Struthio camelus: one gene and its partner. The protein of the gene in region 1 purifies or fractionates together with the protein of each later gene. This does not show direct contact. Links are inferred from orthologs where the notes say so. Each region holds a gene or a part of one and is shown on either strand. Other genes may lie near its edges. The genes, in order: RAPGEF2 and MAGI1.

Region 1 (3,901 bases):
GCACCATGACAATCTAGGGCAAAATAGTAATGTCAAACACATATTTACACCCTCATGAGATGGGAGAAGCTGAGCCACAGAACAGTTTGTTAAAGCAAATAAGCTCTCTCCTACTCTTTCCTGCCCTGACATGAATATGATAAATATATTTCCTCTTTCCTCAACCTAAAGATACCTAGTGATTTCTCAAAAAACAAAAATGAAAAGCTACCTTTACAAGATAACATGGCTTAAGTACAAGGAAAGGAAAACAGAGATAGTTAAGAGTTACTTTAAGGGAGGAGGAAAAAAAAGTCTTTGTGTCTTTATATAAAGAAAGGTTTGGAAAATTGTCCTTGATAGCTGCATTAGAAAGATACCATGCCCAACCACTTTTTTTTTTTTTTTTTCAAATTCCAACACTGTCGTAAGATAAAACTGAAATAATTCCCAGAAAGGAAAACAAAGATTAATAAAAACCCCTCCTCAACCCGCTCCATTCAGATGAGACACTCATGAAAACGGAAAGGGAATTTTCCTTCTTTAGGCCCTGCTCTCATCAGGAGCAACAGGAGGGCACATCTGACCACCAGTTTCAAGTATTTCCAGTGCTAATAACACATTATGTTTCCCACAAATTCGGTCTTATTTGTGGACTGTTCTGGTCGGTGTCAGCTTCATGGCTTTGAGGGTGGGTTTCTTTTCCCGAGGAGACGGCCACAGCAGGCTCTCAGTCTGCTGATTCTTGAAGTTTTACAGCATTAATGCAGCCCTGGCGTTCCCGATTTAGCTCCCTGCTCCATGCCCTTCACACTGGCTTTATCCCTGCATTCAAGCTAATTTCTCCACCGCCTCACTTCTCTCCCTCTCCCCCCCCCCCCCCAACTGGCAAGGACACAACAAAGTTTGCCAGCGCGCTCGGCCTGCCCCCGGGGAAGTTTTGCCTCCCCAGGCCCAGTCTGACGGCCCAGGCGCTACCCGAGCGCCTGGTTTCTGAGCAATCACCAGTCTCCTCCGGTCAGACAACTGCCCACCTCCCCAGGTCGGACACCGCCGCCGCAGTCCCCTCGCGGGAACGAACGCCTCTGCCAGCAAAAGGAGTCTCGCTGCAAGTTCGCAAGCGGCGTCTTTCCCAAGAGAGAGCAGTCAGGCTCCTCTGCCTTTCACAACATACCAAAAGGCTGGTTCTAACACTGAAGGCAAACAGACATTTGGAAAGCAAAGGTCAGACAAGGACAGAGAAACAGCTTCAGCACCGCAAAAATACATTCCAGAATAACTTTAAAAAAGAAAAAAAAGGGGGGTGGGTGGGGAGGAAAATATGGACAAAACACATACTAAATGTAATGCCTATGCAGCCAGTATATTTTTTTCCATAGGCGCTTTTATTTTCTCACACATATTCCATGAGCATCTGGATAAAAATAACTTTACCACAATGACGTATCTACAGTAGGAGGAATGACTTATGGGTGCAGACTGAAAGTCAAGGTTTTCTCTTTGCCCCCAATTTGAAAACGTCACCAGCCAATCAGAAGCTGGGCAAAATAATCAGTAATAACATCTCTTCCTAAAAATCAGAACACACCAAGTTCTCAGGGAGGAGAACAAGCCTTGGGAAAACAGGACAGATGGTGCTACAACTCCAAGCGAAGTAACTCCTTGTATCATTAGCTATCGAACTGCAGCTTGATGTGGGGATCAGCGTAAAGCTTATTAGTCTTTAGACAGCTGGCAGCAGTCGCCACTGCAGTAACCGCTCTGGAGCAGAAGGCACTCGTTCACTTTAGCTGTTTTTCAGGTCATGTTAAGTCAAAACGCGTCTACGCGTCCGCTTGCGCCCCAGCCCCTCATTTAACCTCTTTTAAGGCTCTGCAAGCGCGGTTAAGCTTAGGGCAGCAAACACCTTCCCCAGCTCCTTCGCGTATCCCGAGAGGGCGGGCGGCAGGGGCAGCAGCGCAGCCCCACGCCGGTGCCGCTGCGCGGGGGTCGCGCCCTGCCCCGCCGAGCGGCCGCCGCCCCGCGCGCCCGCAACGCTGCCGAGCGCAGCGGCGCCCCGGCTGCACAGCGCGCCGCGCAGAAAACTCGGAGAACACAACGTGCGCGCACCTATTTTCTGTTTTGTTTTACCCGGAAGCAATGTTCAACAGCAGACCCGCGACCGTCGTCCCCCGCCCCCCCCCGGCCCCACAAACACGCTCCCCCCTCCGCCCCAGGTCGGGGGCGCGGAGGAAAGCGCCCCCCTTCCCTCCCCGCCGGCTCGTGTCTCGGGGGAGGACGAGCCCCGCGGCCGGCACCGGCCCCGCGGCGCCCCCTCGGCGGCGGGGGCCGGGGGCGCCTACCTGGGGGCTCCTCTCCGCCGGGTTCTTCATCACCGCCTGGCGGAAGCTGTTATCCACGTAGGACGCCATCGCGCCCCGCCCGGTGCCCGCCGCCCGCCGCCGCTGCCCGGCGGGGCGGGAGGGCCGGCCGCGGCCTGGCGCTGCTGCTCCCGCTGCTGCTCCCGCTGCTGCCGCCGCCGCCGGGGCGCTGCGCTGCGCTCCGCTCCGCGCGGGGACACCGAGGGCGGCGCGGCGCCGCGGGCTCCGCAGCGCCGCCGCCCGGAGGAGGCCTCAGCGGCGGCCGAGCCCCAGCCCCAACCCCAGCCCCGCCGGCAGCGGCGACAACGGCGCGGGGGCGCCCGCCGCGGGGGGCGCCTGGCGGCGGCAGCGGCGGCGGCGGCGGCTCCGCGCTCCCGCTCTAGCCGGCTCTGCGCCTCCCGCCGTCCCGCTCCGCCGCATCCCCCCCGGCGGCGCCGCTGCCGCCGCCGCCGCCTCCCATCCGGGGCTGCTGTGGGGGCTCCGCGCCCGCCTCGGCCACGGGGAAGTTGCTGGCGCGGCGCGGCGGGGCGGGGCGGCGGCGGCGGCGGGGCGGGCCGGGGGCGGGCCGGGGGACCGCGGCGGGCCGCCCCCCCCTCCCCGCCCCAGCCCGGGGCTCCCCGCCGCCGCCGCCGCCGCCGCCCTGCGCGGCCGGGGCTGCCCCCCCCCCCCCCCCCCCCGCCGACAACGGGCTTTGTCCGGAGTTTTTGCTCTGCGTTTGCTTCCGAAATAGGCACTCGGCCGCGCTTGCATGTCTGGTTTGGTTTGCTTTTTTCCTTTCTTTTGGTTTTTTTTTTTTCCTCCCCCCTCTCTCCCAGGCTTTAGTTGCAGTTGATATAATAGAAAATTGTCACTTTTCCTTTATCCCCGCTGGAAAGCTGCCCTCTGAACAAGGGGGGGGGGGGGGGTAGCACCTGGATGGTGTTTGACGCGCGCCTGCTCGGCTGGGCGAGGCGGAGGCGGAGGGTGTACCTGCCGCCCCGGCTTGGCTCCTGCTGCCTCCCTTTGATTCGCCGTATCTGCTCTTTCCTTTGGGACAAGAAACTGAGGATAGTAGTTGCTGTTTGCACCGTTGATGCGATCCTGTTTAGGTACGCCTATAAAATCCCTCCTCCGCAGACGAGGCAGCCTTCCTTCACTCAGGGCACCCAGTCTTTTTTGTTTTTGTTTGTTTTTTAATTTTTCTCTCAGCTAGCACTCTGCTACCCAGCATTTTTCCGTGCATTTGCCTTAGGAAGAGTACCGACACAGTGATCCCAGGAGCTTTTTGCCTCCCCCCACCCCCCGCCCCAGCCTGTTTTCTGGCTGCTTTTTCAGGCATGCTCCGAGAGCTTCTGGGTGGTTTTCCGCGTTTCAGCCCAGACAGGCTCCCGCCAGCCCGTTGTCAGGGCTGCCTGGCTGGATGCAGCCCCCAGAGAAGCCCTTTTGCCCGCCTGCCGGGCACCTGATCGCCCTTGGGAGTCAGCGGTGCTTTGGGTGTTGGTCGGAGCTATGCCGATCCTAAAGAGAACTTGACTGAATGTTTGTAATTTTCCTTTCCGCTGGCGACAGGCGCCAGCGAGGTG
Region 2 (3,901 bases), on another chromosome or scaffold:
ACTAAGAACTGGGAAGAGGAAGAGACTCATACAGTTAAAATCGCGTTTACAATCTGATCTTCACACTCCTTCACTGTCTGCTCTAGTGCCACACATCTCCTGTTGCATGACAGTTGCCATGCCTATAATGAGATTTTTAATCAACATAATGTATTTTAATTAAAACTCTCTCCTTTCCTACACATATGATCCTGATCCACGAGGGAGTTCCCCACTCCGTGCAGAACACCATGCAGATGCTACGCTATCATTAGGAGAGGCACAAGGAATGGCTTTCTAAACCACAAAAATATTCAGTGATTAAAAAAAAAATCCTATTATATATTCCACTCTAATAAAGCATTTAAAAAAAAAAAAAAAAGGAAAATATGATCTCATAATAGCCAGGGGCTTGGTTCTCACTCCGGGAGGAGGAAGGTCCAAGGTTCAAGTTCCTGCCCTGGCTCCAGGCAGGGCTTTGAACCTTTTTCTCCCAAGTCCCAGGTGAACCCAGCTACTATGAGAAAAAAACAGCTCTCTGACTCATTTTGACCAGACACTGCATCCTAGAGCCGAGACATATTCACCTCTAAATTCTGTCATTTCTGGTATAGTCCCATGACGAGTTTCCATTTGGACTAAGTAAAGTTTTCAACAAAAAAAAAAGTTTAATCACAAATTGCTCGTCTCTTACCCACTTTCCTTTGCCCACAACACTGATCCCATTGCATCAACAGAAGCTGCACGCTAACCCTTCTGCTAAAACAATCAGCATGTAAAAATCTGCATAATTTCCTCATACTTCTCTTTATTTTACTCTCTCGCTCCCCTCCCGGGCAATGAAAATCAGCAAATCAGTTTCACTCCCCGGTTTCCAGTGTAGCAGAGAAAATGCAGCAGGGAAAATAGGCATTTGCTTAAAGAAAACAGTTTTCATTGGCGTCCAGCACTGCTTGTTGGAATATTTCTGCCAACTTAGGGTTTCAACACTTAACACTAACAGTAATTTTGATATATAAGATTTGGGGCAATTCTGAGCTGCTATCATCCCTGGAAGAAGAAAGCAGAGGGCAGAGCAGGATTACAGGGCACAAGTGCCATGCCGAGCAGGACACACCATCGCGGTGATTTACTCCAACGGTGGGAGTTTGAGCAACGGCCGTGAAACAAGTGCATCCAGAGCAGCTCGTAAATCAGGCTGGCGGACAAGGCTTCAGAGGACCCTCCTGCCAACCTACCATAACAACAAGGGCCTATCAACAAAGTTAAAAGATCTTTTAGCTGCTGCATCTCCAGCAACTGACCAGGTTGAAAACATGCCCTGTAGTTTGGGATGTGTATGTGTCTGGATAATAATAAACTCTCTCCTAAAGAACCTCCCAAACGCTCCTAGGAAAACTTCGCTTCCTTCCTGCAGTTATCGATGACCCTGGGGTGCGCTGCTCCGCCACCCGCACCTACAGGTGTTGCAGCACATTCCTGTTTATCCTGCCCAGCCAAATAACCTCAGCAGCTGTCGCAACAGTAACAGTTTCCTGGCACTAAATGCAAGTCCTGCCCTGGAAACTACAAACCTATCAGCCAGGCCTCTTATGCTAACCTGTTAAACAACTGCTGCCTGTACACAGGCATGAAGTGGGACTTAAAAAAAAAAAAAAAAAAACTCACATGGGAAGGCTCTTCCTATCCTTTTCTACAGCTAAATCCGAAAGCAATCCACCTCCTCCCGCCGCCGCTCTGCGGGGTGAGAGCCCAGATGTGTCCTCACCTACGGAAGAGCCAGCCCAAGCCAACTTTCAGCCCGACTTCAGAGAAGCATCCCACGGGCACTGGTGGCCGCTCTGCCCGTCCCCCCGCGGCGATGCGGCCGCCAGCCCGCAACCGCGCTCCACGTGAGCCAACACACGTCGCATGCAGCCGCTGCCGGGGGAGCAGCATCCTCCCGCACAGCCCTGCGGGTCCGGGCCGGGCACGGACGTGCCTCGCTCGCCCCACGGAGCGAGCCCCCGGCCTCGGCCGCTTCCGCTCGGCATCGCAGGACCGCGGGCTGGAGGCTCCCGCGCGCTTTGGAGAAAGTCTCACGGCATTGCTCGCTGCAGGCCAGGAAACTGCAGGCTGATTCGGTACGATAACGTGACTGTATGCAAGTACATGTGTGTATATATATATATATTTATATACACACACACACACTATATATGTGCGTGCATATATACACACACACACACCCCCTCGCACACTACCGCAGTGTGCACGTACCCAGACGCTTGCACACCACCGACACAAGCAGCACCCAGGGGCGCTCCCCTTTCGCGGTCGCCCTAATGCTCGCCCCTCGCCTCGGTACCCAAAACTTCCTGGCCAAGAACAAAGTTGGCCGCGGCGGAGCGCGGGCCGAGTCGAGCCGAGCCGAGCCGCGGCAGCCCCCCCTTCCCCCCCCCCCCGCCGCCCGGTGCCCCCCGGTGCCCCCCTCGCACCTTGTCTGACGGCTTTGACGGCGATGGGGTCCTTGCAGCTGCGGATCACTTCCAGCACGTCGTAGCGCGGCAGCCCCGAGACGCGGACCCCCTGCACCTCCAGCAGCAGCTCGCCCTCGCTCAGCGCCGCCTCGCCGCCCCCCGCCGCCACCGCGCCCGCGTAGGGGAACTCGCCGTGCTCCGCGCCGCCGAGCAGGGCGAAGCCCAGCTGCCCGCCGGGCCCGCGGCTCAGCGAGCACTGCCGCACCCGGCTGGCCCAGTGGTTCTTCTTCTGGACGACTCGCGACATGCTGAGCGCGGCCCTCCGCCGGCCCCGGCGCACGGTAAGCAGGTGCGCAGCGGGGCGCCCAGCCGCTGGCTCATAGACCGCGCCGTGCCGCGCCGTGCCCCGCCGCCGCTCAAGCCATCACCGCCCGCGCCGCGCCCCGCTCCGGCCGCGCGCGGCCCGCATGGCTCCGCGCCCGCGGAGGGCGCGCGCCTGCCTTCGCCTGCCCCCTAGTCCCTTTTCCTTTTTTTTTTTTTTCCCCTCGTGTTAAAAAAAAAGAAAAAAAAACTAACTCAATAAATCCGCCCTCCGCTGGCTCCTCCTACCCCTCGCTTTTGTTTTGTTTGCTGTTGTCCCCCCCTCGCCACCACCCTTGCCCGCCTCCTCTGCGCGGGCGCTGCGCGGCGCCTTTAAGGCGATACAAAGACTCCGGTTGTTTTGTTACATTTCGCTTTACCCCGCTGCACCGCGCTCGGGGCCGCCGGCGCAGGCGCCTTCCGCACACTCCTCCCCGGCCCGCCCCGGCCCCGGCCCCGGCCCCGGCCCCGGCCCCGGCCGCGAGGGCCGTAGTTCAGGTTGTCTCACTCTTCCCGGTTTTAAAGGCCCTGCTTGCACTCGCAGACAACTTTTTTCTTTTCTTTTTTTTTCCTCCTCCCCAAAAAGGAGCGGCGCCAAGCGCGCACCTTGGATTGATTCTGTTTTTAAAATGTCAGCAGGAACAATTCCTTGCTAAGGACGGGCTCAGTTGCGAGTATGCTTCCCCCCTCGCACGCCCCCTGCTTCACTGAGAGTTCCTGAAAGCCCATTGAGAAGTTCAGCCTCTGTAATCTCACGGAGCAGCTCATGTTTCGGGGAAGATTGGCAAGGGGGAGGAGAGGGCTCCTTCACTCTCCTGGGAGCGTTTCCAGAGCTGGCCAAGTTGCAAACCTCTAAAAATCACTGCTCACCTGCACTTGCAGTAGGGGGTCGTTAGAGGATGGGACAAAATGAGGCAGAAGTCCTGAGGAAAACCTTACACAAGTCTATAATTAAAAGTGGTATCAAAGCGCTTGTGCAAGGCTGAATTAAAGCCAACACAGATCTTTAGTTCTCCACTTTTCAATTTCTGAGGTGCATGCGTTTTAATAATATCCTTACTTATTTCCCCAGTATAATTATGTCGAACTGGGACAGACCTATA

What was found.
Region 2: the proteins of RAPGEF2 (region 1) and MAGI1 purify together in Homo sapiens (co-immunoprecipitation; 3 studies listed by BioGRID and IntAct, with this or other methods). This does not show direct contact. The link is inferred for Struthio camelus from reciprocal best matches to the Homo sapiens genes RAPGEF2 and MAGI1.

What each region holds. Positions count from the first base shown.
Region 1 is NC_090945.1:41,241,542-41,245,442, reverse strand, and holds the start of RAPGEF2 (rap guanine nucleotide exchange factor 2), read right to left. Parts: upstream 2,462-3,901; 5' UTR 2,391-2,461; coding exon 2,322-2,390; intron 1-2,321. UniProt on the Homo sapiens protein: Functions as a guanine nucleotide exchange factor (GEF), which activates Rap and Ras family of small GTPases by exchanging bound GDP for free GTP in a cAMP-dependent manner.
Region 2 is NC_090955.1:13,480,339-13,484,239, forward strand, and holds the start of MAGI1 (membrane-associated guanylate kinase, WW and PDZ domain-containing protein 1), read right to left. Parts: upstream 3,040-3,901; 5' UTR 2,746-3,039; coding exon 2,457-2,745; intron 1-2,456. UniProt on the Homo sapiens protein: Plays a role in coupling actin fibers to cell junctions in endothelial cells, via its interaction with AMOTL2 and CDH5. May regulate acid-induced ASIC3 currents by modulating its expression at the cell surface.